Linked DNA regions of Callithrix jacchus. The protein of the gene in region 2 interacts with the protein of the main gene of each other region in a biochemical or structural test. Links are inferred from orthologs where the notes say so. Each region holds a gene or a part of one and is shown on either strand. Other genes may lie near its edges. The genes, in order: SYK, ERBB3, ITK, TNS3, NRG2, BCAR3 and RNF41.

Region 1 (4,137 bases), on a different chromosome or scaffold from region 2:
GACTTCTATATTTGAGTCCTTGTGGATGAATTGTAACCTAGCTTTAACAGGCAGGCAAGACTGAAAATCTAACTTAGGAGTATGAGGCCTGTAACAACAGCTGAGTCTTGGCCAATCCCAGCGGCCATACTTCAAACACTCATAAACTGCTAAGTATTCAAACAAGGCAAACGCCAACTTGTAACCAATTCAGCTGTTTCTCTACTTCACTTCTGATTTCTGTCCATATCTTCCTCTTTTTTTGTCTGTGAATTTGTTCTGACCATGAGGCATCCCTGGAGTCTCTGAATCTGCTTTGATTCTGGAAGCTACCCCATTCCCAAATCATTCATTTCTCAATTAAACTGATTTAAATGTAATTCAGTTGAAGTTTTAACAGGTTTAAAAAATTAATTGCAAAAATGAATTAAAATCTAATAACGCTGGAAACAGAAAAGGCTGAGGGCTCCATTAAGTATAAACAGTCCCATCTTTATAATTTCTCCATGGCAATTACAATCCAGCACATTATACGTATTTTATTTTGCTTCTCGCATTTTGGCTCAGGGTAAAGCTTTTTAAAACAGACGCTGCCAATCGGTTTTATCAAGAAGGTCTGGATACCGTTTTTGTGGGAACATTTTAAAGAGGAATGTCCAACAGGAAAAGGAGGATAATTGAGAGAAGTGTATCAGGCAGATAAGTCAACACCGTTTTTAGGACTATAGGAAAGGATTACGTTTAATTTATTTGGCTGTAGACGTCAGAGCCGTCGTGTTACAAAGAAAGCAGTCTTTAGTAATAAGCCCTCAGAAGCAGCGCGCTCCATTGCCCACTAGTGCTCCGTGAAGTCTGTTGTTCACCTACCGGGCCCCTCAGCACTGCCCCGGCCTCCTGAGTGCTCCAGCACGGTGGCTTGCAGCCTGTTGGCTTGGTGACCCAGATACCCCCTCCAGGGACTATGCCCTGCAGTGGAGTCTCTACCCCATTTGCTGCACAGCAAATGGAAAGGGCCGCTGAGTGTTCCTGGGTCCTGGGCAGTAAGAGAAGTTACCGCGCTGGCGGGGATGAGGGCAACCGATGTGGTTCGGGTCGCGGGCAGTCCCACCTTCCCTGCCTGCGAAGGGCCCTTACCCGGCGGGAGGAGAGCGGCGCGCCGCACCTGGATTCCTCTGCCGGTGCAGCCGCCTAGGCGGATCCCGCGGGCCGGCCCAGCGCTCCAGCCCGTGCCCGCCCAGCTCCGGGCGCACGGGCGCGGTCAGCAGGGCGGGCCAGGCGGCGGGGCGCGACATCGGGAGGAAGTGCGGGCCGCCTGCCCGGGCGCGTTAAGGAAGTTGCCCAAAATGAGGAAGCGCCGCAGCCGGGCGGCTGAGGCCACCCCGGGCGGCAGAAGAGCGAGGAGGAGCTGGCGGCCCCGCGCTGCGCCCCGGCTGAGCCCCGGCTGCGCCCAAGCGCCAGTCCTTGCCTCACCTGGCGCAGGTAGGTGTGGCCGCGTCGCCTCCCCGGTGAGAATTTTCTGGTGAGCGGAGGGGGTTTCGGGGGATGACGCGCCGCGTTCATGCCCTTTCTTGTTCTGCCTTTCTCGTGTGCCCAGTCACACCGGGAAGGTGCCCGCAGGGCCTTCACTGCGGAGGGAAAAGTGCTGAAACTACGTGAATAAATACGGTGGGGTCCGCCAGCCTCGCTCCTGAATCTGCCGGCTCTCGGGATCCAGAAGCTGCGCCGGGAGAGGGGCCCGGGCCTGGGCGGAGGGGACAGAGGTCTGAACCTGCGGAAAGTGACCCTGGACTAGAGCGCGGAAAGTGCGGTCGCGGCCCCGCCGGGGGAGACGCGAGGCTGGGATGAGGCACAGAGCGAGGAATTTGATCTTGGAGCTAGAACAGTGTCCTTTGTCCATTTACACCAATCCATGGGGGAAATGCCGCAGTATTGATCAAAGTGACTCAATGTAGAAATGTCCAGATGTCTTATAAGCTAAGACAAATGTTTTACTGCAGAAAGAAACAGCAGTTGCATTCAAACACCAAACTTTCTGAACCACTACTAAAATTTAGCATAATTACTCTGGTGAATACATTTTCATTGTCAAGTAATTTACTTAGCCAATGAACCTGGAGAGCAAGAAAGTTTTACGTAGTAAAATGTAAACTTGAGTTAAGAGGTAAGGTGATTCTTTGTTTTTTGGTTTTGTTTTTGTTTGTTTTTGGCAATACAGCTCCAAAACCTTAAGCCTACCTGAAAACTATACAAATGCGATAGCTTCTTTGGTTTTTTCAACGTTCAGGGACTAGAAAGACAATTGGAGAAGTGGGAGTTAGAATCTTTTTTTACGTTGGAAACGCTGTTGCAAAATATTTTATGAGTTTTGCCTGACTTACCGAAGATTCAGTTGAACTCAAGTAGAACTGTTGACTGGAAGTTTTTCTTTTTCGTCTTCTTCTTTTTTAACCTTCAAAGCATTGCAGTCTGTAGCAAAACAAGGAGTTGGAGATATGCCATATCTGATTCTTCATATTAAAAAATAAAAAAGGAATCTTTTAATCCCTGAGAATTCCTGGAAGGAATTGAATTGATTCTAGAATCTGACTTCGTCTTAGTAGGGACAAATTCATTGCCTTTACACAGGCAGCATTTTGATTGAATGCAACTAAATACATTGATGTCCTTCTCCCCAATGAAAGTCTGAGCAGTGCATAGATAGAATTACATTTGAGCTAAAAGGTTTAAATACATGTAAATTATTAAGTGTTTAAAGTGAGAAATCTTTGTCAGTGAAAATTATTTTATCAAATCACTTTGTTCTATCCGAATGGCACTTTTAATGTACTTAGAAAAATCTTGCATTAAAATAGAAACTTATTTGTCTTACCCCCTGTATTTGAAGTGCACTTTGAAGTGTATTTGAATGAGAGATTATAATCAAATTGCTTGATTTGTGTCTTATCCTCTTACTCTTCTTCCTTGGATTTGAACACTAGGAAAAAAGAGATTTTTTTTCTACTGAGGTATCGTGGGGAGACTTTTTTTAAAAGCCTCTGTATTTGAAGTGAAATATACAATAGGATTTTAGAATAGTCTTAATAACCAGAATGCTTTAAGCTAGGATAAAGATGGGGTGTATACTTTAGGTCTTTACCTTTCCTGAGAGATGAAATTGGTAGAAACATTATTTTATTGCTAGATTTGCACTTGAGAAATGATTTGCCTTGATCTTTGTTAGGCCCCTATATATATTCTAAATGCAGGTCTAATCATTCTGTTTTTTAAACTGATGTCTTCTTAGTAGAACTTCACTTATTTAGCACATTGTTTGCCCATGGTTATTATCCAGCATGCTTGTGCCAAAGTGTATTTTGGAATTCAAGCTTTTTCCGAATTTGGAATTAAAATATAGAACTAAATTTTAGAATTGAGAAAGACATCGCTCAGAATTTAGGGAGGTAAACACACATGTTGATGCTGCTGATTACTTGCCATTCCAGTATAGTCTGGAGAGAATCCTGTAATTCCACGCATTAATATTTCTGCACTTTCACATTTAACAACATGCATATTCTCAGTAAGTGGAAAAATGAAGACTATAAATAGCTGTGTGTCTGTTTAGAGCAGGTGGTATCACTACAAGAGCTTCTCTAAAATTTACCAAAAAGAAAAAAAAGGCTTGTTTTTCAGAGTTTTTTAGAGCTGGAGATGATGGACTCAGTCTGTATTAGACTCCACTGAACTATGGTTTGCTTTTGAAAGCAAAGTGCATTCATATTGCTCAATACCTCACACTTTCCAGTAATTAGAAGGGCAGTTCCTCTCCCTTAAGGGAGTCTAAAATAGCAAGATTTTACTGAATTTTCAATCATATCGATCAAAATAAAGGTTCTTCAAGTAAGAGCGGATGTTTCCTTTGTAATATAATTTTGAACAGCGGAGTTTCTGACAGGCTACGATTTTAGAGAAAGAGAGCAGAAGTTACTCACAAAAGGGGTTACCGTCACCCTTTACAGCTGCAGTCTGTCCATGGAAGAAATTTTATTTCCTGTTAACTTTGCAACCAGCTGGGTTTGTGTTAGTTGTCTACACCTAAGTGATGGCTAATTTTTACTTTCTCAACTTTCCCTGTATAGATGTATAGACATTTTTTCCAACTACCCCCTGACTTTTCTA
Region 2 (3,437 bases):
CCGGAGGGATCATCCATTTAAAGGCCTCCCAATCTAGAGGCTGGACTCCTTAAAGAAGTAACATGACATTGTTCCAATAACAGGCTGGATGGAGCACTTAAGGGAAGTGTTCAGAAAGACAGATGTTTGTTGAGAGCGCTTACTGTGAAAAAACAAAATAAAAAGATTTGGTGACTTTTCTAAGAATGAATTCAGAAACACGTAGAGGTTTCAGTATTTGGCCTCTGAAGGAGACCGGACACGTATATAGTGCTTTTTATAAGTCCCCAAGCACGTGGGTTATTTGTTTTTGTTATTCTCAATTGTTTTTGCTTTGTAGATTCCTACTAAAACCCCAAAGGACTATAAGCTATGCTTGTTCTAAAGAAATACAAGTAATAATAGGACTAGAGAAAGCTGCATGGGACGGAGTAGCATTGTCAGAAGACAGAAAGGTGACTGTCCTCTGCTGAGGAGATCTATCTAACATATGAAATGTTTTCATTTGACAGACAGGAAGCTGAAAAAAACTTTGGCATTTTTATTCAGACATGTATAAAAACAAAACATTTCAGTGATACAACAGATATTTTCCCTCAGTTCCCCATCCAAAGGAACAGAGGCGTGAAACTGGGTCTTCTTTCTATCCTACCTGGAAGCTTCTTACTGCTGGGATGAGAATGGCTCCTAAAAGTGAATCTTGGGGGAATCCTTGTGAATCTGCCCTCAGATAAGGAGTAAAGATCATTCACAGCACGTGGGTTATGGTTTACACAAAGATGTCCAGTTATTTTTCCTTCTGACTACCCCCACCACCACTTCCTGAGATGAGATGTCTTCCTATATGAGGAGGATGTGGCTGTTGGGGTTAGACTTGATTCAGTGCAGACAAGAAACGTTGCCCCTTACAAGGGCTGTGACTTAAATCAGTTTTCCTTGGCACTTACAGTTAAGAGCACATGCACAGGAATTGGGAGGATTTTGCATTCTGGACCTACTGCTTAATTAATCTCTTTTAGGCTCAGTTTCCCCCCCCTTCCCCATTAGAGATGGTGTCTTGCTATGTTCCCTAGGCTTATCTCTAATCCTGGGCTCAAGTGATCCTCCCATTCTCAGCCTCCCAAAGTGCCGGGATTGAGCCACCACGCCCGGCTTCCCTTTTTTGTAAAATGAGTTAATATGTATGTCACAGAATTGTTGTAAGGACTAAGTGAGATAATGTAGGTAAAGTTTAGTATGATGCCTGGCTCATAATTAAGTGCTGAATTATAAAAGTAATCAATATCTACTCCTAACCTTTATCTCCACAGATTTTAACCTTCTGTCTTTCTAGGGGGTTAAGAGTCATAAACCAAAATTATACTTTTCTCTGCTAGGTTTCCTCCCTTTCCTCTTCCTGACAGTCTGATGGGAAACAAAGGCACATCTAGGAGCCTAGTTCCAAGTAGTCAGAGCCTGAGAGGAAGGGATATGGAGAGTAATCCTTCATATCTCCAGAAATACCTGTGAGGAAGCTGAGGAATGGGATTGAGAAAGCACACAAAATAAGGAAAACCTCCTTTCCTGGGGTTGGGAAAGAGAAGAAAGTGCACAGCTGGCTATATACCATAAGAATTTTGTGTCAAATGTTTAAAAGCCTCCAAAGGTTGAATGGAATTGTCTGGGACTGGGGAAATGGGGCTGAGATCTGGGAGAGAGAGGGAACAGGGAGAAGAGAGTACCCTCTAAAGGCACTAGCTGCCATTAAATGCTCCCTGAGTGCCACAGGGAGCAGGGGTTATGTTCTCTGCGCATTAGCCTTGGGGAAAAGCCTGCTATGCCAGTAATCAGGGTTATCAAAGGCAGAGTCTGTAGCCTCTAAGCTACGTAGAGTTTTTAGGCGGGCATAATGGACGTGAGGGGCCTGATGTCCAGGCCCCTGAAAAGCTCTCATCTCTTCATACCCTTGCTCAGATGCTGGGCAGGCCCCCATGGCTGCATAATCACCCCCAGGACCACCTCCACCTCGTTGCCGATTCATATATTCATAATCTTCATCTGGAGTTGTGCCAGCAGTGGGCATGATTGGTACAGGGTGGAGTGGGCAACTCTGTGTGCTGCCCAGAGAGGCACTGAGGTCTGACCCCACATCCATGTACTCATAACCCAACTCCTCAAGGGAACTTGGCCTAGGGGGACGAGGTGGGCTGTGCCTTCTCCGGTTCATGTATTCATACTCCTCATCTTCATCTTCTTCTTCAGTACCCAGGACAGAACTGAGACCCACTGAAGAAAGGGTGCCTTCCCGGGAGGAGGGAGTACCTGAGGGTAGAGAAGAAAGGCTAGGTATGCGAAGAACCTCATGGGGGTAGGGGAAAGTTTGAAAAAATGAATAGGATAGAGAGGCATATCATCAGAGAAGACAATAATTTAGAGGAGCCTGGGGAAAGAATTCGAGGAAGAACTGAGGAAAGCCCTAGGAAGAGCAGGCACCTTTGAGGTGTGTATCTGGCATGACATAACCATTGACATCCTCTTCCTCTAATCCTGGTGGGGAGAGAGGGGTGACAGGAGTAAGCAGACTGTGGCGCTGGGAATGGTAGGCACTGTCTCCACGTGGCCGTGGGCTCCGGCTCCTGCTCCGGCTCCTACACATTGACACTTTCTCCTGGAGCTCAACCTCAGAGCCTGTTACATGGCCCTCTGATGACTCTGATACCAGGCGTCCCCGTGGCATTGGGTGCAGAGAGACTGGACGGGGGCACCATTCACTGCCCTGAGAAACTGCAGACTCCTAAGAAAGAAAATAAACCAAAAATAATGCAAGGAGATTTACACAGATCAAGAAAGAAGTGACATTTGTTTAGAAGGAGATTGGAGGCTGGGCGCGGTGGCTCAAGCCTGTAATCCCAGCACTTTGGGAGGCCGAGGCGGGTGGATCATGAGGTCAAGAGATCGAGACCATCCTGGTCAACATGATGAAACCCCGTCTCTACTAAAAACACAAAAAATTAGCTGGGCATGGTGGCACGTGCCTGTAATCCCAGCTACTCAGGAGGCTGAAGCAGAATTGCCTGAACCCAGGAGGCGGAGGTTGCGGTGAGCCGAGATCGCGCCATTGCACTCCAGCCTGGGTAACAAGAGTGAAACTCCATCTCAAAAAAAAAAAAAAAAAAAAAAAAGAAGGAGATTGGGTTGTTCACTACCTTTTTTTTGGGGAGGCGGGGGATGGAGTCTTGCTCTTGTTGCCCAGGCTGGAGTACAATGGCACAAACTCAGTGCACTGCAGCCTCCCAGGTTCAAGCAATTCTCCTGCCTCGGCCTCCAGAGTAGCTGGGATTACAGGCACCCACCACCATGCCCAGTTAATTTTTGTGTTTTTAGTAAAAACGAAGTTTCACCATGTTGGCCAGGCTGGTCTCGAACTTCTGACTTTGTGATCTGTCTGCCTCAGCCTCCCAAAGTGCTAGGATTATAGG
Region 3 (3,500 bases), on a different chromosome or scaffold from region 2:
CATCAGCACGCTGGACTTTGTTGTATGTGTTAAGGTTTTTTCATCCTAATTAGCAGTGTGCTATTCTGAACAAGTCAATCTCTTTGCACTTCACTCAATATTTTCATCTATTCGCTTCTCCTCTATGCATCTATGTCTTAAGGCAATCATTCTGAAACCATGTTTTAGCAGCAGCGCATATTCAAAACAATTTTCACTAAAAATTCTGGTATCTTGGGTGATAAACACTCTTATTTAGGGTCAGGTTGTCAATTTCCAACTCCTGAGGCACCTCTGAGTAACCCCTAGCGATTCTGTTCCACTGGGTCTGGGCTAGGGCCCAGGAATCTGCCACTTGAACAAGCCTCTGAAATGATTTTTATTCGGTGTTTTGGGAATCATGCTTTGGGAATGTCTACTCTAAGATTCTCTGGAACGAACCTTGAAAAGTGCTGGATTAGGTGATTTACAAGCAGTCTTCCTGGTCTGACAACCTGTGACTATATCAGCACATGATAAGGACAAAGCTGACAATTCTACTAAGGGCAGAAGAAGAAAGGAAAAGAATTAAATCAGAGGTCAAAAACAGATAAGCCAAAGATGTATTTTGCTTGGTCTACATGGTGTTTTTAAAATTCAAGAAGTTCACCTCTTAATTTTTGACTTCCTTTTCAAAAATCAGAAATTGTAACAGTTCTGATCCCTCATTTTCATATGCCATACTTTGGCTGGAGTCAAATCATAGCTGTCTCCTTAAGACGGAGCTGTTTATCTCATTTTCCACAATTCCCCCTATCATACTTCCTGCACTCCGTTCATTTACATATTGCACGTTGGCATTTGAGTCTACAACTGTTAGTGGCAGCATTTGAGTTTGATATAACAAAGGGTCCATCTTGAAAATCCTTCTCCACTAGAAAGGTTGGAAATTTCAGTTCTTTAAAAATAGGACAGGGCTAATAAACCTCAGGTAGACTTGATGTACTTCTGGAGGTAGCACATGAATCCTAATGCCAACGAGTCTGAAATTTCTAGGGGGAGGTTGCTTTGTTTGCTGTCTGTGGGCTTTGTCATTCACTGTGCTGTGCATACCATTTCTCATAGGTGTGCTGATGTGGGAAGTTTTCAGTGAAGGCAAAATCCCATATGAAAACCGAAGCAACTCAGAGGTGGTAGAAGACATCAGTACTGGATTTCGGTTGTACAAGCCCCGGCTAGCCTCCTCACATGTCTACCAGATTATGAATCACTGCTGGAAAGAGGTCAGTGGAGGAAGTGCTTTCCCCTGCATCGTCATATACAATTTCAGGACCTGCCTCCTTCCCTAGAGAAAGTAACCCTCTCAGAAGGCTAAGGCAAGAGGGATGACTCATATAGATTAACAACAACATGACTTTGAGGGTCTTTTAACAGGATAGATCCCCCATCCCTAATGGAGCTGATGGTGACCTTAAATATTATTTTGTTTACTATATAATGTCACAAGCCATAAGCATAACTTCAGAGAGGAGAATGGGGTGTGACCTATGCCAACTTCCTTCTCAATTTTCTGAGAAAAGAAATAAAATCTGTGACATCATAAAACCATTAAAAGTACATGAAGTTAGTTCTATAACTTGGGGAACAAAGTTCACTCACACTATGAAAATATTGAAATGGATTAATTTGAATTCATTTTATTCATTCAGCAATTTAAAATGGGGAGCCACTTCCTTTGTACCCACCTGGCTGGCTATCCCATCCTTGGATTGCAGGCCATGGGTTGAGCCCCATCAGCATGAGTCTTAGATGGTCTTTGGTGAGTTAGAAAATTGTACATTTCAGCCAAAGTGGAAAGTTGCTGAAATAGAGAATTAGTAAAAATTCACATCATTGTAGGACAACAAAGTGGAATACAGACAATTTAGAACACTAGGATTTTGTCTCAGCTTTACCATTTATTTGCCATTTATCTTCAACAATTCTCTGAACTTCCTTTTTCTTACTGTTAAGAGAATTAAATAATGCTTGATGTATGGGTTCATAGAGCCTTTATAATGAGGAACAAAGAAACAATAAAGTCATAAACAAGGGCATGAAACAAATCTTATCCACTTCATAAGGATTAACTACAATAATAATAATGACAGCTGATGTTCAGTTGGCACTTTTTCCTCTTTTAAACATCTTTTGTTGATTTTTTAAATTTATAGACTTTATTTTTTAACAAAGAGTACAGAGTTCTCAAATACCCTCCTCACCTGAGCAGTTTCTCTGTTCACTAAGATTTGGCAAGTGTGTGATAATTTGTTACAATTCATGAACCTTTATTGATACATTATATTAACTAAAGTTCATAGTTTATGTTAAGGTTCAGTCTTTATGCTATAGATTTCTGTAGGTTTTGATAAATGAATAATGCCATGTATCTGCCATTATAATATCAGACAGAATAGTTTCACTGCCCTAAAAATTTCCTGTGCTTCACACATTTATCCCTCTCCTCATCCCCAAACCACTGGCAACTGCTGATCTCTATAATGTTTCCATAGTATTGCCTTTCCCATAATGTCGTATATTGGCATCATACAGCATGTATGCTTTTCAGACTGATTTCTTTCACTTAGTAATATGCCTTTAAGGTCCCTCCATGTCTTTTCATGGCTTGATAGCTCATTTCTTTTTGTTGCCAAATAGTATTCCATTGTATGGATATACCACAGTTTGCTTATCTATTTACCTACTGAAGGAAATCTTGGTTGCTTTCAAGTTTTTTTATTTGTTTGAATTTTTGTTTTGTTTTGAGATGGGATCTCAGTCACCCAGGCTAGAGTGCAGTGGCACGATCTCAGCTCACTGTAACCTCTGTCTCCCAGTCTCAAGTGAATCTTCCACTTCAGCCTCCCAAGTAGCTGGAACCACAGGCATGAGCCACTATGCCCAGCTAATTTTTTGCATTATTGGTAGAGACAAGGTTTTGCCATACTGCCCAGATGAGCTCAGGCAGTCCACCCATCTCAGGCCTCCCGTAGTGCTGGGATTACAGGTATGAGCATCCAGGCAGACTGCTTTCTTTCACTTAGTAATATGCCTTTAAGGTCACTCCATGGCTTTTTAGCTTGATAGCTCATTTCTTTTTATTGCTAAATAATATTCCATTGTATGGATATACCACAGTTTGTTTATTTACCCACTAAAGGAAATCTTGCTTGCCTTCAGTTTTAAGCGATTATGAATAAAGCTGCTATAAATGTTTATGTGCAGGTTTTTGTATGCACATAAATTTTCAACTCGGTTGGGTAAGTGCCTAAGAGTATGCTTGCTGAATCATATGGTAAGGCTGTGTTTAACTTTTTAAGAAACTGCCAGAATGTCTTCCAAAGTAGCTCTACTATTTTACATTCGCACCAGCAGCGAGAGTTCCTCATTAGCATTTGTTGTTTTGGATTTCAGTGGTTCTAATAGATGTGTAGTTATATTACATCATTGTTTTAATTTGCATTTTCCTAATGACATTCAATGTTAAGAACATTTTCATATGC
Region 4 (3,500 bases), on a different chromosome or scaffold from region 2:
ACTTTTACTCTGCTGTGCAGGTCCCATGTGAACCTGGGTGGGCCATATACTGACACCTCCGTCAATATGACTGTAAGGCAGGGACTGGTGTGGTGCCCGCAGCCAGGGTGCTTAGGAAGATGACATGGGCCAGCACACCTAAACCAAGAACCACGCTGGCATAAATGACAGCATCTCTCGTGTTACCAGCACACGGTGGGAATCACATGCATGGCGTCACCCAGTGATGTTCTCTCGTCCTTTACCTCTCTGATCTTCACTTTTAGAGGCAGGCCCCTCTAAGGAGCCAGCGGCCTCCAGAAACCAACACACCAAAACATGCCAATGTGGGAAGCCTGGCACCACACGGATGCCACATTCTCTGGCCCAAGGTCCTCCTTTGGTCCCTGCATATCACTACCGGGACTCCCAGAACACAGCTCTGTCTCTCCACCTCCTGCAGCTACAGCCTGGCTGTCCTCTCCTGGCATGCACCTCTGTGCAGGACCACACAATCTCCCCACAACCCTCGCCCACACAGGTCCCTACCTGAGACATCCCCGCTCCATCCCAGCACCCCTCTTTGCCTGCTGTCTTCCCTGGCTGACCTGACCACTTCTGGCTCTCTGGTCCTCTCAGCCTTCATGCCTCACCAACAGAAAGAACACTATATAGTAACCTGGTCCCAACATGCCCCATTACATTGACACAGTGCTGCTGTGAACCAGGCAGAGGTCACTGTCTGTCCATCACTGCCAGTCCTGGTTCTTCCCAGACCTCAAAGCTAGGCACAAAGGCCCTGTGCCGGTTTCTAAACCATCAGCCTTAGGGGGAAAGGACACTTGCAGTCCTGGCCTCCCTGCAGTTAGCATAACCCCCACCTGGTTTTGGGGCATCCCCCGGAGGCCCCTGCACCTGGCTCCATTGCTCTGGGTGCCGCGACAGCTCTCAGCCCCCCGACCCAAGCCTGCTCCCAAAACCCCTCCCATCACTGAGCTGCTCTCCATGGTAGAAACTCTTGTGGAGCCCAGGCCGCCCAGCTGCTGCCTTCCATAAACAGTCTCCACACACCACCATGGCCAGCACCGACACGTTGTACACCATGACTGCTTAATCACTTCCATGTGCCAAAGCTGTCTGTGGGCTCAGCAGTCCTCTTGATCCCCAACCTTCAGCCCCACTGAGGTAACTGGCATTCTTCCACAAAGCCCTGACCTACACCACAGGGGAAGAGGTAAGTATGCTTCCTTAGTTCATCCACTAACTTTCACAAAGGGAGAATAGTTTCACTGTTAGGCCCATTCTGCAGTGAAGGCATGGACAGCCCTTTCCAGCAGATCTGCATGCTGTCCCTGCCCCTGTGCTTAACATAACACCCTGACATTAACATAACAGCAGGCTTTCTGCCTCGTTCTTCCCACCCTCCGATCTGCTACCTAGGGACCATGGCAGCATGATAGCAGGCCATGGCCTAGGCTTCCCACATTGGCATGTTTTGGTGTGTTTGGCATGTTTCGATCCTAGGCCAAAATTCACAAGACTCAAAACTGCAAGGGAAATGTCCCTCCCTCTCCCCTGTGGGTTTTGCCAAAAGCTAACCTACTAGGCTGATTTCTCATCGCACGTCAGCCTCCCGTGGAGCACCTCCCGTGGAGCACCAGCTCACCTTGACGCCCGGGGGTCCTGCTGGTGCTCTCTCCTGTGTCAGGCAGCCTGCTGCTTGCCCGGAGCCCGCCTCCCATGCTGTCCAGAGACGCAGAGCCATTGGCCTGGCTACCAAGGGTGTTCATGTGGGTAGGGATGGGCTCGAAGGTAGGATCCAGCTCCAGGATCAGCCTGTTGAGCTGCTCAATGGACTGGTCAATGTCCAGGGTGGGCGAGCCTGGGGAGGGGCCTGTGCTCAGCTCTGAGCCGGCTCCATTCACAACCTGGTCGCCTGGAAACCTGGGTTTGAATGATTTGCTGGGAGAGGGCTGCTGTGTGTCAGGAGGATGTGACCCACTGCCCACACCCCTCTGGACAGCCACCCTGCTGCTGGTCCCTCGGGTGGGGGTGAGTGGGATTCTTGGCTGGGCCTGGACGAGGCCAGGGTTGTCTGCAGGGCCTCGGCTCACCAGTCGGGCCTCCCCGTCGGGGGCGAAGTTATACTGGTGAGCCACCACCATCTGCTGCTGGCGCACCCAGGTCTGGGTGGAGTAGCTGCTCTGCCCATAGGCCTGCATCTGTGGGGACACCGAGGGCTTCCTCAGCAGGGGCTGGGGCTGCTTGGGCTCTCGACTCCCAAAAGTCCGCTCCCGCTCATAGGGGGCGTCCATGCCAAGGCCCAGGTCTGGAACAAGGGTGCCCTGTTGATCTTCACCAACGTTGCTGCTGAGACCATCAGACAGGAGTGAGTTCTGGCTGCTCTTGTGGCAGGTGAAGGGGCCCAGGTGGGCCGACTGCGGCCCTTCCGAGGAGGACAGGGTCCCAAGGCTGTCCACACTGTGCAGGTCATGATGGGGCATCTCGTCATCCAGAATGTCCGTCTCCCGGTCCTTCAGAGCAGCGTCTCCATTCACGTGGACCTGAGCCGGCACCACATGGCGGGTCCCGCTGTACTTGCTTCGAACATCAGTCATTTCCTTCAGGGAGCTTCCAGAATCTTCCAGGCCAAAGCCACTGAGCAGCTGGTCCAACTCGGCCTTCTCCTGGGCGCTGAGGCCCCTCTTGGTTCCCGGAGCCAGGCGCTCTTCTGTCTTATCAGTCCTGGCAGAGGCTGTGGAGTGGCCAGAGTCGCTGCTGACAGACAAGGTGTGGTCACTGTGGTCTGGGCTGCCAGTGGCCGGGACAGCCTGGTGGCCTCCTGGGATGCCAGGATCCGAGGAGCTTTTCTTCCTCACCTTCGCGTAAAGGCTGCCATCAACAGGGCCCTGCGTGTGTAGCACTGCGGGGGAGAAAAGCAGAGAGAGGGATGAAAGGCAGCCTCACACCTTCAGAATGAGTGTGTGCATTTGTCCAAACAAATAAATGGATTCAAAAGATGACTAACGATAAACAGGGACAAAGACTCCTCTAAGATCAAAGTTCTACACATACTCTGGAGCATGCCAACGAAAAGGAATGCAAAGAAACAAACATCTTCAGGCGCCAGAATCATTTCCACCTTTCCATGCAGAACAAACTGTCATTCTGAGCTCTGGGATTCTTCAGCTTCTGAATCATCTTGCCTTGAGGGCTCATTGTTAGTTTCATCATGATTATGAATGCTGAACTGGGCTCAGCTCATAAATCCCCGAGAATGGACTGTTCACCCTATACAAAGAGCTTCCATCTATAGACCTAACACTTGTTGAGCATCAGTTAGGGGCCTGGTAGCAAATTCCTATTAAATTGAATGGATTGGTGGAACCCCATCTCTATTAAAATATAAAAATCATCTGGGTATGGTGGCACACGCCCACAGTCCCAGCTACTCAGGAGGCTGAGGTAGGAGAATCACTTGAACCCGGGAGGGAGAGGTTGCAGTAAGCCATACACTCCAG
Region 5 (3,500 bases), on a different chromosome or scaffold from region 2:
GTAGGCTGCTGCCCGCCTTGCCCGAGCCTCCACACACGCTGGGCTGTTGCATTTGCTGGTACCCACTGATGACAGCATGATGCCTGACTGCGAGTCAGAGGTCAGGCTCTCAGAACGTTCCAGGCTCCACGTGTGGCTCTCGTGTCTGGGAAAGCCAGATGGGGTGAGGTGAGGGGTAAGGAAGGGGCAGGGCGCCCAGCAGGTGTGGTTCCATGGACCTCCCTGGCTCTTCTTCCACCTCCAGCTCCCTTAGCTCAATGCCCTTCTCCACTCTGGGGTGATGTAGAGTGTTGCAAATGCCCAGCCCCAATATTGGAAGAAGGAGGGCTGGCGTCCCATGGATGAGTGAGTTTTAATGTGCAGAAACCCATTTCTTTCCTCCCTGCAACCAGCCTCCCCTAGCCTTACCTTAAACCCCCTGTGTGGGACCCTTCCACCACTGTGGTCCTTAGCTTCCTATCTCAGAAGCCCAGCCCCAGGGGCCAGTATGTGAGGGCCCTATTTCCTGGTGCTCCCAGGGAAGAAGGGAGCCAGCCATGTTATTTTTGAGCTGTCTGGGCCTTTGTGCTGTGTGGATCAGCCTTCGCAGTTCTGGAGAGGAGGTTAAGGTGTGCTGTGATTCCTGTGGCAAGCTCAGGAGAGGGTATCGAGTAGCTCTGGATGTTGGCTAAGTGGGCGCTTTGTGCCAGATGAAGTTTGTGAGTCTCAGGTTTCCATGGGCTTTGGTGGTGCCTACCTGTGGCTGGAGGTGGGTGTGGCTGTGGAGCAGTGGTGAGAAGGTGAACAGGAGTGGCTCCCAGAGAAGGTGGTCTCAGTTTCTCTCCTGATGACGTGGTCTGTGGCTGGCACGTTCTTGGAGATATACTGGAATGGAGAGAGTTGGGTGAGAGTTAGTGACCGTGGCCTAAATCAACTTTTCTTGTTGGGGACAGGGATGTGATGAGCACTGACTGAGCTCTTGGTTGGGGAGACCCACTGGGTGAGAGTGACATGATGCTGGGGCAGTGACAGCTCCAGCAAATCAACCCCCACCCCTTCCTGATGAAAGTGAGCAAAGCAAAGCCAGCCATCCTGGTGAGGCAGTGCCTAGCAGGAAAGGCTGGCCATGGGATAGGCTGGCGGCTGCCCTGGCCCATCCTTGCAGGGGGCATGAGAAGGCTGGCTATCCACTGGGAGTTCAGAAGGGGGCCCGGGAAAGCCACTCACATCTGCCATTTGGATCTCCTCTGGGTCCAGCCGTGGGTGGCTGGGCCCATTGGCCAAGCTCCGGTTCTGGTGGGCCGGGCACATGTTCTGCCGGAGGTGGTTATGCATCTGCTTCCTCTGTTTTCTGCACAAGGGAAGGGAAGGTGAGCCTGGTATTCCCCCAATTCACCAGTGATGAACTTCCGGAGCTGCCTCTCTAGGGAAACAGCTTTTCCCCCTGTCCAGGGCTGCTGTTCTTCCCTGTACTCAAGCTGCCCCTACACCATCACCACCTCCCTGAATCCAGCAGGACCTGAGCGTCATGGCAGTGAGCTTTGGCTCTGCTCAGAAAGTAGAACTTCATTGATTTCTAGTTATGCAATCCTGGGCAAGTTACTTAAGCTCTCCACATTTCACTTTCCTCATCTATAAAACAGGGTGATCCTTTATCCATTCCAAAGATTATTGATGATTAAAAGTATATGAAATATTCAAGGCTGGGTGCCGTGGCTCACGCCTGTAATCCCAGCACTTTTGGGGGCCTAGAAAGGCAGATCATCTGAGGTCAGGAGTTTGAGACCAGCCTGACCAACATGTAGAAACCCTGTCTCTACTTAAAATGCAAAATTAGCCTGTCATGGTGGTACATGCCTGTAATCCCAGCTACTCAGGAGGCTGAGGCAGGAGAAATGCTTGAACCTGGGAGGCAGGGGTCGCGGTGAGCCGAGATTGCGCCGTTGCACTCCAGCCTGGGTGACAGAACAAGAGTCTATCTATCTATCTATCTATCTATCTATCTATCTATCTATCGTGTGTGTGTGTGTGTGTGTGTGTGTGTGTATTGACTCCCTCTCTCTCTTATTCATTCATTTGGTATTTATTGAGGTGTCACCATGTGCCAGACACTGTTTTGGAGCAGAGAAGATAGATAGGTAGATAGGGTATCCGCCCTACTGAAGCCTGTAGGCCAGTAGAGGAAGCAGATGGTAAATAGGTAAACAAAGAAATGAACTAGATACTTTGAGTAAAGTGCCACAAAGAAAGTAAACAGGGTGCTGTGGTTAGCTGTGGGGCTACTTTTTTAGATTGGCACATATTAAATGCTCAATTTATTTGATAATAAATCTAATCATGTAACTCCCCTGTTTAATGAAGGGGTCCTTCATTGTGAAGTCATGGAGATAGAGAGTAGAAGGATAGTTACCAGAGGCTGGGAAGGGAGGTGGGGGTTGGGAGGGAGGTGGGGATGGTTCATGGGTACAAAAAGTGGTTAGAAAGAATAAAAGAGACCTAGTATTCGATAGCATAATGGGGTGACTATAGTCAATAATAATTTAGTTGTACATTTAAAAGAGTGTAATTGGATTGCTTGTAACACAAAGGTCCAGGAGGACCCATCAGTTTGCTCAAGGTCACAAAGGATAAATGCTTGGGGGCATGACTAGCCCACTTTACATGATATGATTATTATGCCTTGCGTGTCTGTATCAAAATATCTCATGTAGCTCATAAATATATACACCTACTATGTACCTGCAAAAATGAAAATGAAACCCCTTTACTGGGCCTTAGTGTCCTGTTTCTCTCCCAGCCCTGTGTCTTGCTGCCCACACGGCGCCCCAGCTAGCTCCTCCGTGGTGAGTTTATTTCTGATCCTCCACCGTGCCCCACCCTCTCTGGCCTCCTGCCTTGCGCATGCTAGGCCATTCACCTGGAATACTTTCCTCTTCACCTGCTAACTCTTGTTCACCTCTCAGGCCCTGGCCTAAATGCTGCTCCCCAGCTTAGGTGCCTCTAAAAGGTGTCCTGTGATACTGGACCACTTGCTCAGAGCACTGGCCATATGTCTGAGGCAGGGCCTGGTGTCCAGCAGGCACCAAATGAGTGTCTGTTGAAGAAATGAGAAAATGCAGTGGGGGCAGGACAGGCGGCTTGCTTTTTCTGCAATTCTTGGACTATTTTCCCTCTTGGGCCTAGTCTCCTCTGGGCTCACTGGGCCCCAACTCCCTCCTCAACCTCCTCGAGACTTTCTGGTCCTGGATTTATCCAAGACAAGGCCAGGAGGACCTCAGATGCCACAGTTGGGGCAGCATGAGTCCAGACGAGGGGCTCAGTCCCTGGAATGGTGGCTCCATCCGGTCTAGACTCTTGCTCTCCAAATATGAACAGTTGTTACAAACCCGTCATCTTTCTGCCCATCAGAAGGTCATAGGGCCTTGGATGCTGAGCTAGGGAGTCTGGCTTTTTCCAACAAAGATTATAGATGTACCTTTGTTGGCTAAACCTAGAATCCCTAGCTCGGCATCCAAGGCCCT
Region 6 (3,500 bases), on a different chromosome or scaffold from region 2:
CTTTTCCCTCCTTTCCTTTCCCAGTGCATTTAGATGATGTGCACAAGGACCCTGAGCTCTGTGAAAGACAGGCCCTAAACAAATGCAGGTCACCACTGCTGACATTTAACAGCTGGGCGCCGAGGCTCAGCGATGTTCTGAAGCCCTGATTTTCCACCGAGTGCTCTAAATCCTTCTCTGCCCCCATTCCCCAAGGTTCACACTATAGCCCCCATGCTCTCTGCATCTCCTGTCTTAGAAATCTCATTTGTTTTCACCAAGTCAACTACCCTTTCCACGTGGACCAAGCCCTAATTTGTCTTCAGCCCTAATGGCCTCCTGGACCCCAAAACTCCTGCTGGACTCTGGCATTCAAGTCCATAGTCTTCCAGCTCAGATGAAAAAGTATGTTTCTCCTCCAGAGTCCCCTCCCTCCTGGTCACTCCTGTTGCCTCCAATGTGCCTTCCTCCTACTCCGCCACGTGCATTAGAGGCCTGGGAGGCCAGGCCCCTCCATGATTCACTAACTGGCTTTCGTGTTCGTGTCTCACTCCTTGCCCCCAGTATGTTGCTGTCCATTTCTATTCTTAGGACATCTGCGTTCACTCTGCTGAGTCTGTGCAGCTCCCTCAAAGCCCTGCACCTGGCATTAAGGCCCCCACGATCTGGCTGGGGCTAACTCCCTAAGCCCACTGCTACAGGTACCTTGCACAGACCTTCTCTTCCAGCCCCACCAGCACACTCACTCCAAGATCATGCCATTTTCCATCCCCAGACTTATGCCCAGGCTGCGCCTCCCACCTCCCCCGCTTTGCAGCATCTATCCAAATTTTCCCCAACCATCAGACCAGCCCAAGCTTAACCCCCCTTCACAAGGTCTCTTGTGAAGAGGGAGTCGCCACCCCCTCTGTCCTTCCTCAGCTCCTGTAACATTTATCGCTGGCACTGCTCAGATGGGAGCTAATAGTGCAATGCCTCGTAACAGCTATTCCATGAACAGTCGGCATTCCTATTAATATCACTTATTTCTCTGTTCCATGATGAATTCTTCATCTCCCTATGTCTGGGCACCTCTGGTGCCTTTCATGGTCCTATGCCAACTGCAGAGGAGGCCTTGACCCACCTGAGGAGGTTTCCCCTGGGCAAATTCTGCTCTCGGGTCTGGACGCCACCCATGGTGAGGCTCAACCTCTTGGCCACATCCGGCCGTCCCTCGGTGAGGCTGCCCTCCTGGGCCCGGCCTGAGGAGGTGCCATAACGCTCCTCCAGGCACCGCAGGGGCACCGTCCTGTTGATGGGCTGGAAGATGATGGCACCACTGTGCTGGGAGATGGGCCGGCGGTTGCCCACATAGCAGCGCACCAGGCCGGGGATGGAGTCGAAGCTCTCCATCTCGAACTGGTACTGTACGCGGCTATATGCCTCGCTGAGCCGCAGAACTGTCCGGTTGATTTTGAAGTGCTGAGCAAGGTTCTTCCACTGACAGGTTAGGACGAAGTTCCCAGGGCTGGACAGAGAGTCACGAACTAGGAAGTCGCCATCTCGCTGCACAAGGTTTTCAGACACCTTTGGGACAAAAAGGTGAGTGAGGAGTAGGAAAGGCAAAATCACATTCCTTCTAAAAGCTTATGGCTACCCACTTCTCTGGGCCAATGGAAGGCAATGCTACTATTTCTTCTTGGGTCAGCTGTTTCGTTTTTCAAAGGTCAAATTCATAGAAGATCCAATCATTCATTCAGGAACTACTGACTGACCACCTACTTGCACCAAGCACTGCTGCAGGGGTGACAGTGGCACACAAGAGCCCACCTCATGGAGCTCCTGTGTTTGGTGGGGAGCTTCTGTTTTAGTGAGGATAAATAACCAATGGCTATGGTATGTCAGATGTAACGTCAGGGAAAAAGTAAATCAGGAAAGGAGACAGGAAGTGCTGGGCAGGGGATGAGGGCTGTCCAGTAAAATAGGGTGGGTGGGGAAGTGTCACAAGAACATGATGTGTATATAGACTTGAATGACGTAATGCACCAGGAAACAGGAAATTAGAAACTGTCGGGCAGGCCTGATTTTCCTTCCCCAACAGGTGGAGTGAGGAGAAAGAAGGTGTTTGTTGGTGTCTAGAAGTCGTCCTCGGAGCCCTCTCAGAGGAGGAGTCCGTGTGCAGGACACACCGACTACTGGCTAGAAGGCTTGGAACTAAGTCAGGCCGGCAGGCTGGGGTCCCTCATCTCACAGTTACTATAAGGGTTATGCATTTGTATACATAATACATGCAAGCGCTGGAACACAGTGGATGCTCAAAAATAACTCGCATGATGCTGCTGCTTACAGCAACTGGAGAATTTAGACTGTGGTGCAGTCTGGCTGTTCCTGTAGCCTCAACCACCTGGGTTCGCATCCTGGCTCAGCTGTAAGACTCTGGACAAATTACATAATCTCCTTGTGGCTAATTTACATTATCTGAAAAACACAAATGATAATATTACCTACAGGATGACTAAAAAAATTTAAGGAGCTAAAATGTTAGCAATAACTCTTGTTATGATGGTTATGGTTATAGTGTCCAGTTACCCAGTTTGGAATGATTTATCGCTGAAAATTTATACTCATACTCATGGCAAGTACTAAACAAATTTAATGACCATGATAAGGAGAAGGACAGTGGTGACAGTCACCAGTTTTATAACTCTGACAATTTTTCTGAGACATTCCATCATTTGATCAACAGTATACTTCTGTTAGCTTAAAACAGTAGGCTACCATGGTTACTTCGAAATTGCATCTTTGCCTTAAAAATGTTTTCACTTAGAAATTCCATTTCTTAGAATTGAGCCTGTGAAGGCCGGGCATGGCGGCTCACGCCGGTAATCCCAACATTTTGGGAGGCCAAGGCAGGTGGATCACAAGGTCAAGAGATCGAGACCATCCTGGCCAACATGGTGAAACCCTGTCTCTACTAAAAATGCAAAAATTAGCTGGGTGTGGTGGTGCACGCCTGTAGTTCCAGCTACTCAGAAGGCTGAGGCAGGAGAATCGCTTGAACTCGTGAGGTGGAGATTGCAGTGAGCTAAGATTGAGCCACTGCACTTCAGCCTGGTGACAGAGCAAGACTCTGTCTCAAAACAAAAACAAAAAACAAAAAAACCAGAATTGGGCCTGTTGAGTCTGTGAAAATAATTACAGGTATGAACATAGTACTCTTAAAGGATGTTGGTCACAGTGTTAGAAACACCCTATGTGTCCAGTAAATTGTGATGCATGCATACCATGGACAGGCATACAACATAGGCTGGTACAGAAGAATATTTTATAGTGGGTGAAAATTTCCAGGAAGTGAGTAGAATGGGCTACCAAAAAAGTATATGCAGTACAATCTCATACGTGATTTTGAAAAGCCCCGGAGAATATATGTACACAAAAGTGTTCACGGTGGTTATCTTCAGGAGAATTATGAGGAGAATTACAGATAAGAGTTAATTTCCTTATTTTTGCTATCTATATTTTCTACCATCAATTTTCAACTT
Region 7 (4,035 bases), about 140 kb from region 2:
CCTTGCTCTTTCACCCAGAAGGGAATGCAGTGATGTGATCTCCTCGGCTCACTGCAACCTCCACCTCCCAGGTTCAAGCTATTCTCCTGCCTCAGCCTCCTGAGTAGCTGGAATCACAGGCCCATGTTACCATGCCAAGCTAATTTTTTTTTTTTTTTTTTTTTGAGCCTGAGTCTCACTCTGTCACCCAGGCTAGAGTGCAGTGGCGTGATCTCAGCTCACTGCAACCTTTACTTCCTGGGTTCAAGCGATTCTTCTGCCTCAGTCTCCCAAGTAGCTGGAACTATAGGTGCACACCACCACACCCGGCTAATTTTTTGAATTTTTAGTAGAGATGAGTTTCACCTTGTTAGGATGGTCTCAATCTCCTAACCTAATTTTTATATTTTTAGTAGAGACAGAGTTTCAACAGGTTGGCTGGGCTGGTCTCAAATTCCTGGCCTTATGTGATCCACCCACCTTGACCTCCCAGAGTCCTGGGATTACAGGTGTGAGCCACTGAGCCCCACCTAATATAAGGTGTGTATGTGTGTATACACATACATACACATACACATACACACACACACACACACACCTTATACATACTGTCCTGTAAATCAAGTGAAATAATAAATATGGAAGGAGGCTGGACACAGTGGCTCACACCTGTAATCCCAATACTTTGGGAGGTTGAGGTGGATGGATCACTTGAGTCCAGGAGTTCGAGACCAGCCTGGGCAACATAGTGAAACCTTGTCTCTACAAAAAATACAAACATTAGTCAGGCATGGTGGCGTAAGCGCTTGTAGTCCCAGCTACTGAGGAGGCTGAAGCAGTAAGATCACCTGAGCCCAGGAGGCAGAGGTTGCAGTGAGCAGAGATTGCACCACTGCACACCAGCCTGGGTGACAGAGTGAGACCCCGTCTCAAAAATAAATAAATAAATACATAAACATGAAAGGATACTGAATACTGTCATCCTCAAGTGAGATATTATTTGTAACAACAGAATGCAAAATAAGGGCGGGTGCAGTGGCTCACACCTGAAATCCTCGCACTTTGGGAGGCCAAGGTGGGTTGATCACCTGAGGTGATGGTTTTTGTTTTTTGGAGATGGAGTCTCACCCTGACGCCCAGGCTGGAGTGCAGTGGCGCAATCTCGGCTCATGGCAACCTCTGCCTCCTGGGTTCAAGCAATTCTCCTGCCTCAGCCTCCTGAGTAGCTGGGACTACAGGTGCATACAGCCACACCTGGCTAATTTTTCATATTTTTAGTAGAGATGGGGTTTCACTGTGTTGCCCAGCTAGTCTCAAACTCCTGAGCTCAGACAACCCACCCGCTTCGGCCTCCCAAATTGCTAGTATTATAGGCATGAGCCACTGCGCCTGGCCGAGGTCAGGGGTTTGAGATCAGCCTGGCCGACATGGTGAAACCCCATCTCTACTAAAAATACAAAAAATTAGCTGGGCATGGTGGCGGGTGCCTGTAATCCCAGCTACTCGGGAGGCTGAGGCAGGAGAATCGCCTGAGCCCAGGAGAAGGAGGTTGCAGTGAGCTGAGATCGTGCCACTATACTCCAGCCTGGGCAAGAGTGAGACTCAATCTCAAAAAACAAAAAAAGGCAAAATAAATAAATTTAAAGTACTGAGAGTCGGAGAGGAAATGCTTAAAAGAAGATTGTTCCTTCTTTTTACTAGAAGGTAGGCCTAGCCACAGGTGGGCTGGACATGCAAGGTAGTAACATTGCATTACTCACATTCCCTACCACGAATCCACCCCATTCTTATTTGGGGCAAAACTATCAGCCAACAACACTCTCAGCCTCTTGCCCTATTGTCAGACTCTAAAACCACTCTTAGAAAGGGCTAACACTATCACGGGCCAGTCCCCAAGAACAGTGGCCTCATTAACAACCCCACTTGTTATTAGGTGAAAGGAAGTTTCTGAATGGGGAGGGAGTCTGTCAATTCCTCAAGAAAAACGCCCTTAACCCTCTTAGCTTTCTGCTCTTCCTCTGGCCCCCTCCTTCCCACTCCCCAATTTCCCAAAGTCCTGGGTTTGGGAAGGCCTTCCAGTGTGTGGTGTGTGAAGCCTATCAGAGGGCCAGGCTGCAAACTAAGCGCAGGGATGTGAAGAATGTGAGATTTCTTCATGGAGGGCTAGGAGGGGGAGAGGAACGGGGAAGGAATGAGAGGACAAGGCTGCCAAAGACAAGACATGGGAGAGGAGCCAAGCTATGGCGCTTCGAGGGCGGGGGTTTAGGTTCCACCGCCCCTGCCCAGGCTAGCCCCCGGAATGCTCCCTTCCTCCCCTTCTGGTCCGTCAATCATTGCCCATTTAAACACTACGTTGTTCCTCTAGGTCCGCAGCTGCCGGTCCTCCAGCTAGCCCCGGCCCCCTCCCGCACTTCTCAAAGCTCCCCTATTCCAATGGACCTTCCCCAACAACCCAATCTCCAGAGCCCCTTTCTCACCTCCCAACTCCTCGCCAGTGCTGCTTCCTTCCCCCATTTTCGTCTTTACCAACATCCCTCCTCCTGAACCCCAGTATTTCAACCCCCTGCCCCAATACCCCTGGGACATCACCTCCTCCCCTCCCACACCCTCTTTTAGGTGGAAGATCGCGCAGGCGCAGTACGCACCGCCCTGGACACTCCGCACCCTGGCCCAGTTGGAGCTCAGGCCGCAGCGGCCACAGGTCTGCCCTGATGCCGGGTCCCAGCCTTTCCCGGGAAGGGAAGGGAAAGGGGAAAGAGGGGAAAGAAGTCTCCGACCACTCGTCGCCGTCTCTGGCGGATCCTTTGCCCCGCCCACCGCTGCTACGCAACCCGGCGGAAGCTCGTCACCAAACCCCGCCTCTTTGTTTAACTCCTTCCCTACGCGGGCAGCCACGAGCGACCTACGAGGAGAGACGAAGGCTAGCCAGGCCTCCGCTCTAGACAGGAAGTCTTTGTGGTCTCTGTCAGGACTATATAGCCATTTGGGAGGAAGAACTCTGTGTTCTTCCCGACAAGAACGGGTGGGTCTGGCCGGCCACGCTTCGCTTTGGAAGGATCACGTGACTTGTGTCCCAGAGCTGACGCGGATTGGTGGGAGATCATTGCGGAGAGGCTGGTCTGCAGCGTGACCGGCTGTGGGTCCAGCCCCTCTCCCTTTTCCAGAGCCCTGGTCGGCATCCCAGAGCCTCGTGACCCCTTGACGCCTGTCATGGGAATGGATATTGCAGTTAACAAGGCGGTTGCGGGGTGGGGAGTGAGGGAATCCGACTGCAAAGCTTAGATCCGGGGTGCTCAATGGGTTGTCTGCCTCTCTCCCAGGCGCACTCTTCCCATATCCACGATGTCTCCTCGATCACTTGAGGAGTTCCCTGAAACACCTAAGAAGGAAGGGAGAGAAAATTTCCCTCTTCCTGAGTTGGAGTTTGATTTCCTTAGCTTACAACACCATGGTGTTGGGGTGTGGGTGGTAGAGAACCTGGGATCCAAGGGAAGTCAATGTGGAGCCTAAAGAGCTCCATGAAAAGATAAGGGATTCATTAGGCAAACCAAGGCATTACAATTACATTATCTCTTAGGCTAATCTGGTATTAAATAGTATGGCATTTATTTTGGACATTGGCTAAGCAATGTTAGTGCACATTGATACACATACCCACACACACCCACATATCTCTATGTAATTTGTTTACACACAACAATACAGAACTAGCTATCTTTTGTGGACAATTTGACAGGTCCCAAAAGGAACTGAAGTTTCAAGCCTTTTTTCTGCCATCCTCTAGAGGGGACTCAGATCAAGTAAGATAAAAGTAGTATGGCCGGGTGCAGTGGCTCACGCTTGTAATCCCAACACTTTGGGAGGCCGAGGTTGGCGTATCGCTTGAAGTCAGAGTTCGATACCAGCCTGGGCAACATGGCAAAACTCCGTCTTTACAAAAAAATATAAAAATTAGCCGAGAGTGGTGGGACGCACTGTAGTCTCAGCTACTAGGGAGGCTGTGGTGGGAGGATCGCTCGAGCAAGGGAGGCAGAGGTTGCAGTGAGTCAAGATTGT

The links.
Region 1: the proteins of ERBB3 (region 2) and SYK form a complex in vitro, tested with the Homo sapiens proteins (2 studies listed by BioGRID and IntAct, with this or other methods). The link is inferred for Callithrix jacchus from reciprocal best matches to the Homo sapiens genes ERBB3 and SYK.
Region 3: the proteins of ERBB3 (region 2) and ITK form a complex in vitro, tested with the Homo sapiens proteins (2 studies listed by BioGRID and IntAct, with this or other methods). The link is inferred for Callithrix jacchus from reciprocal best matches to the Homo sapiens genes ERBB3 and ITK.
Region 4: the proteins of ERBB3 (region 2) and TNS3 form a complex in vitro, tested with the Homo sapiens proteins (2 studies listed by BioGRID and IntAct, with this or other methods). The link is inferred for Callithrix jacchus from reciprocal best matches to the Homo sapiens genes ERBB3 and TNS3.
Region 5: the proteins of ERBB3 (region 2) and NRG2 form a complex in vitro, tested with the Homo sapiens proteins (2 studies listed by BioGRID). The link is inferred for Callithrix jacchus from reciprocal best matches to the Homo sapiens genes ERBB3 and NRG2.
Region 6: the proteins of ERBB3 (region 2) and BCAR3 form a complex in vitro, tested with the Homo sapiens proteins (2 studies listed by BioGRID and IntAct, with this or other methods). The link is inferred for Callithrix jacchus from reciprocal best matches to the Homo sapiens genes ERBB3 and BCAR3.
Region 7: the proteins of ERBB3 (region 2) and RNF41 form a complex in vitro, tested with the Homo sapiens proteins (2 studies listed by BioGRID). The link is inferred for Callithrix jacchus from reciprocal best matches to the Homo sapiens genes ERBB3 and RNF41.

Annotation. Positions count from the first base shown.
Region 1 is NC_133502.1:74,892,307-74,896,443, reverse strand, and holds the start of SYK (tyrosine-protein kinase SYK), read left to right. Parts: upstream 1-1,337; 5' UTR 1,338-1,458; intron 1,459-4,137. UniProt on the Homo sapiens protein: Non-receptor tyrosine kinase which mediates signal transduction downstream of a variety of transmembrane receptors including classical immunoreceptors like the B-cell receptor (BCR).
Region 2 is NC_133510.1:63,567,254-63,570,690, forward strand, and holds the end of ERBB3 (receptor tyrosine-protein kinase erbB-3), read right to left. Parts: intron 2,753-3,437; coding exon 2,452-2,752; intron 2,281-2,451; coding exon 1,757-2,280; 3' UTR 501-1,756; downstream 1-500. UniProt on the Homo sapiens protein: Tyrosine-protein kinase that plays an essential role as cell surface receptor for neuregulins.
Region 3 is NC_133503.1:20,008,514-20,012,013, forward strand, and holds part of ITK (tyrosine-protein kinase ITK/TSK), read left to right. Parts: intron 1-1,083; coding exon 1,084-1,241; intron 1,242-3,500. UniProt on the Homo sapiens protein: Tyrosine kinase that plays an essential role in regulation of the adaptive immune response. Regulates the development, function and differentiation of conventional T-cells and nonconventional NKT-cells.
Region 4 is NC_133512.1:14,907,565-14,911,064, forward strand, and holds part of TNS3 (tensin-3), read right to left. Parts: intron 2,903-3,500; coding exon 1,646-2,902; intron 1-1,645. UniProt on the Homo sapiens protein: May act as a protein phosphatase and/or a lipid phosphatase. Involved in the dissociation of the integrin-tensin-actin complex. EGF activates TNS4 and down-regulates TNS3 which results in capping the tail of ITGB1.
Region 5 is NC_133503.1:38,224,789-38,228,288, forward strand, and holds part of NRG2 (pro-neuregulin-2, membrane-bound isoform), read right to left. Parts: intron 1,331-3,500; coding exon 1,207-1,330; intron 865-1,206; coding exon 737-864; intron 146-736; coding exon 1-145. UniProt on the Homo sapiens protein: Direct ligand for ERBB3 and ERBB4 tyrosine kinase receptors. Concomitantly recruits ERBB1 and ERBB2 coreceptors, resulting in ligand-stimulated tyrosine phosphorylation and activation of the ERBB receptors.
Region 6 is NC_133508.1:131,469,609-131,473,108, forward strand, and holds part of BCAR3 (breast cancer anti-estrogen resistance protein 3), read right to left. Parts: intron 1,546-3,500; coding exon 1,103-1,545; intron 1-1,102. UniProt on the Homo sapiens protein: Acts as an adapter protein downstream of several growth factor receptors to promote cell proliferation, migration, and redistribution of actin fibers.
Region 7 is NC_133510.1:63,425,816-63,429,850, reverse strand, and holds the start of RNF41 (E3 ubiquitin-protein ligase NRDP1), read right to left. Parts: upstream 2,801-4,035; 5' UTR 2,625-2,800; exon of another isoform or gene 2,457-2,624; intron 1-2,456. UniProt on the Homo sapiens protein: Acts as E3 ubiquitin-protein ligase and regulates the degradation of target proteins. Polyubiquitinates MYD88. Negatively regulates MYD88-dependent production of pro-inflammatory cytokines.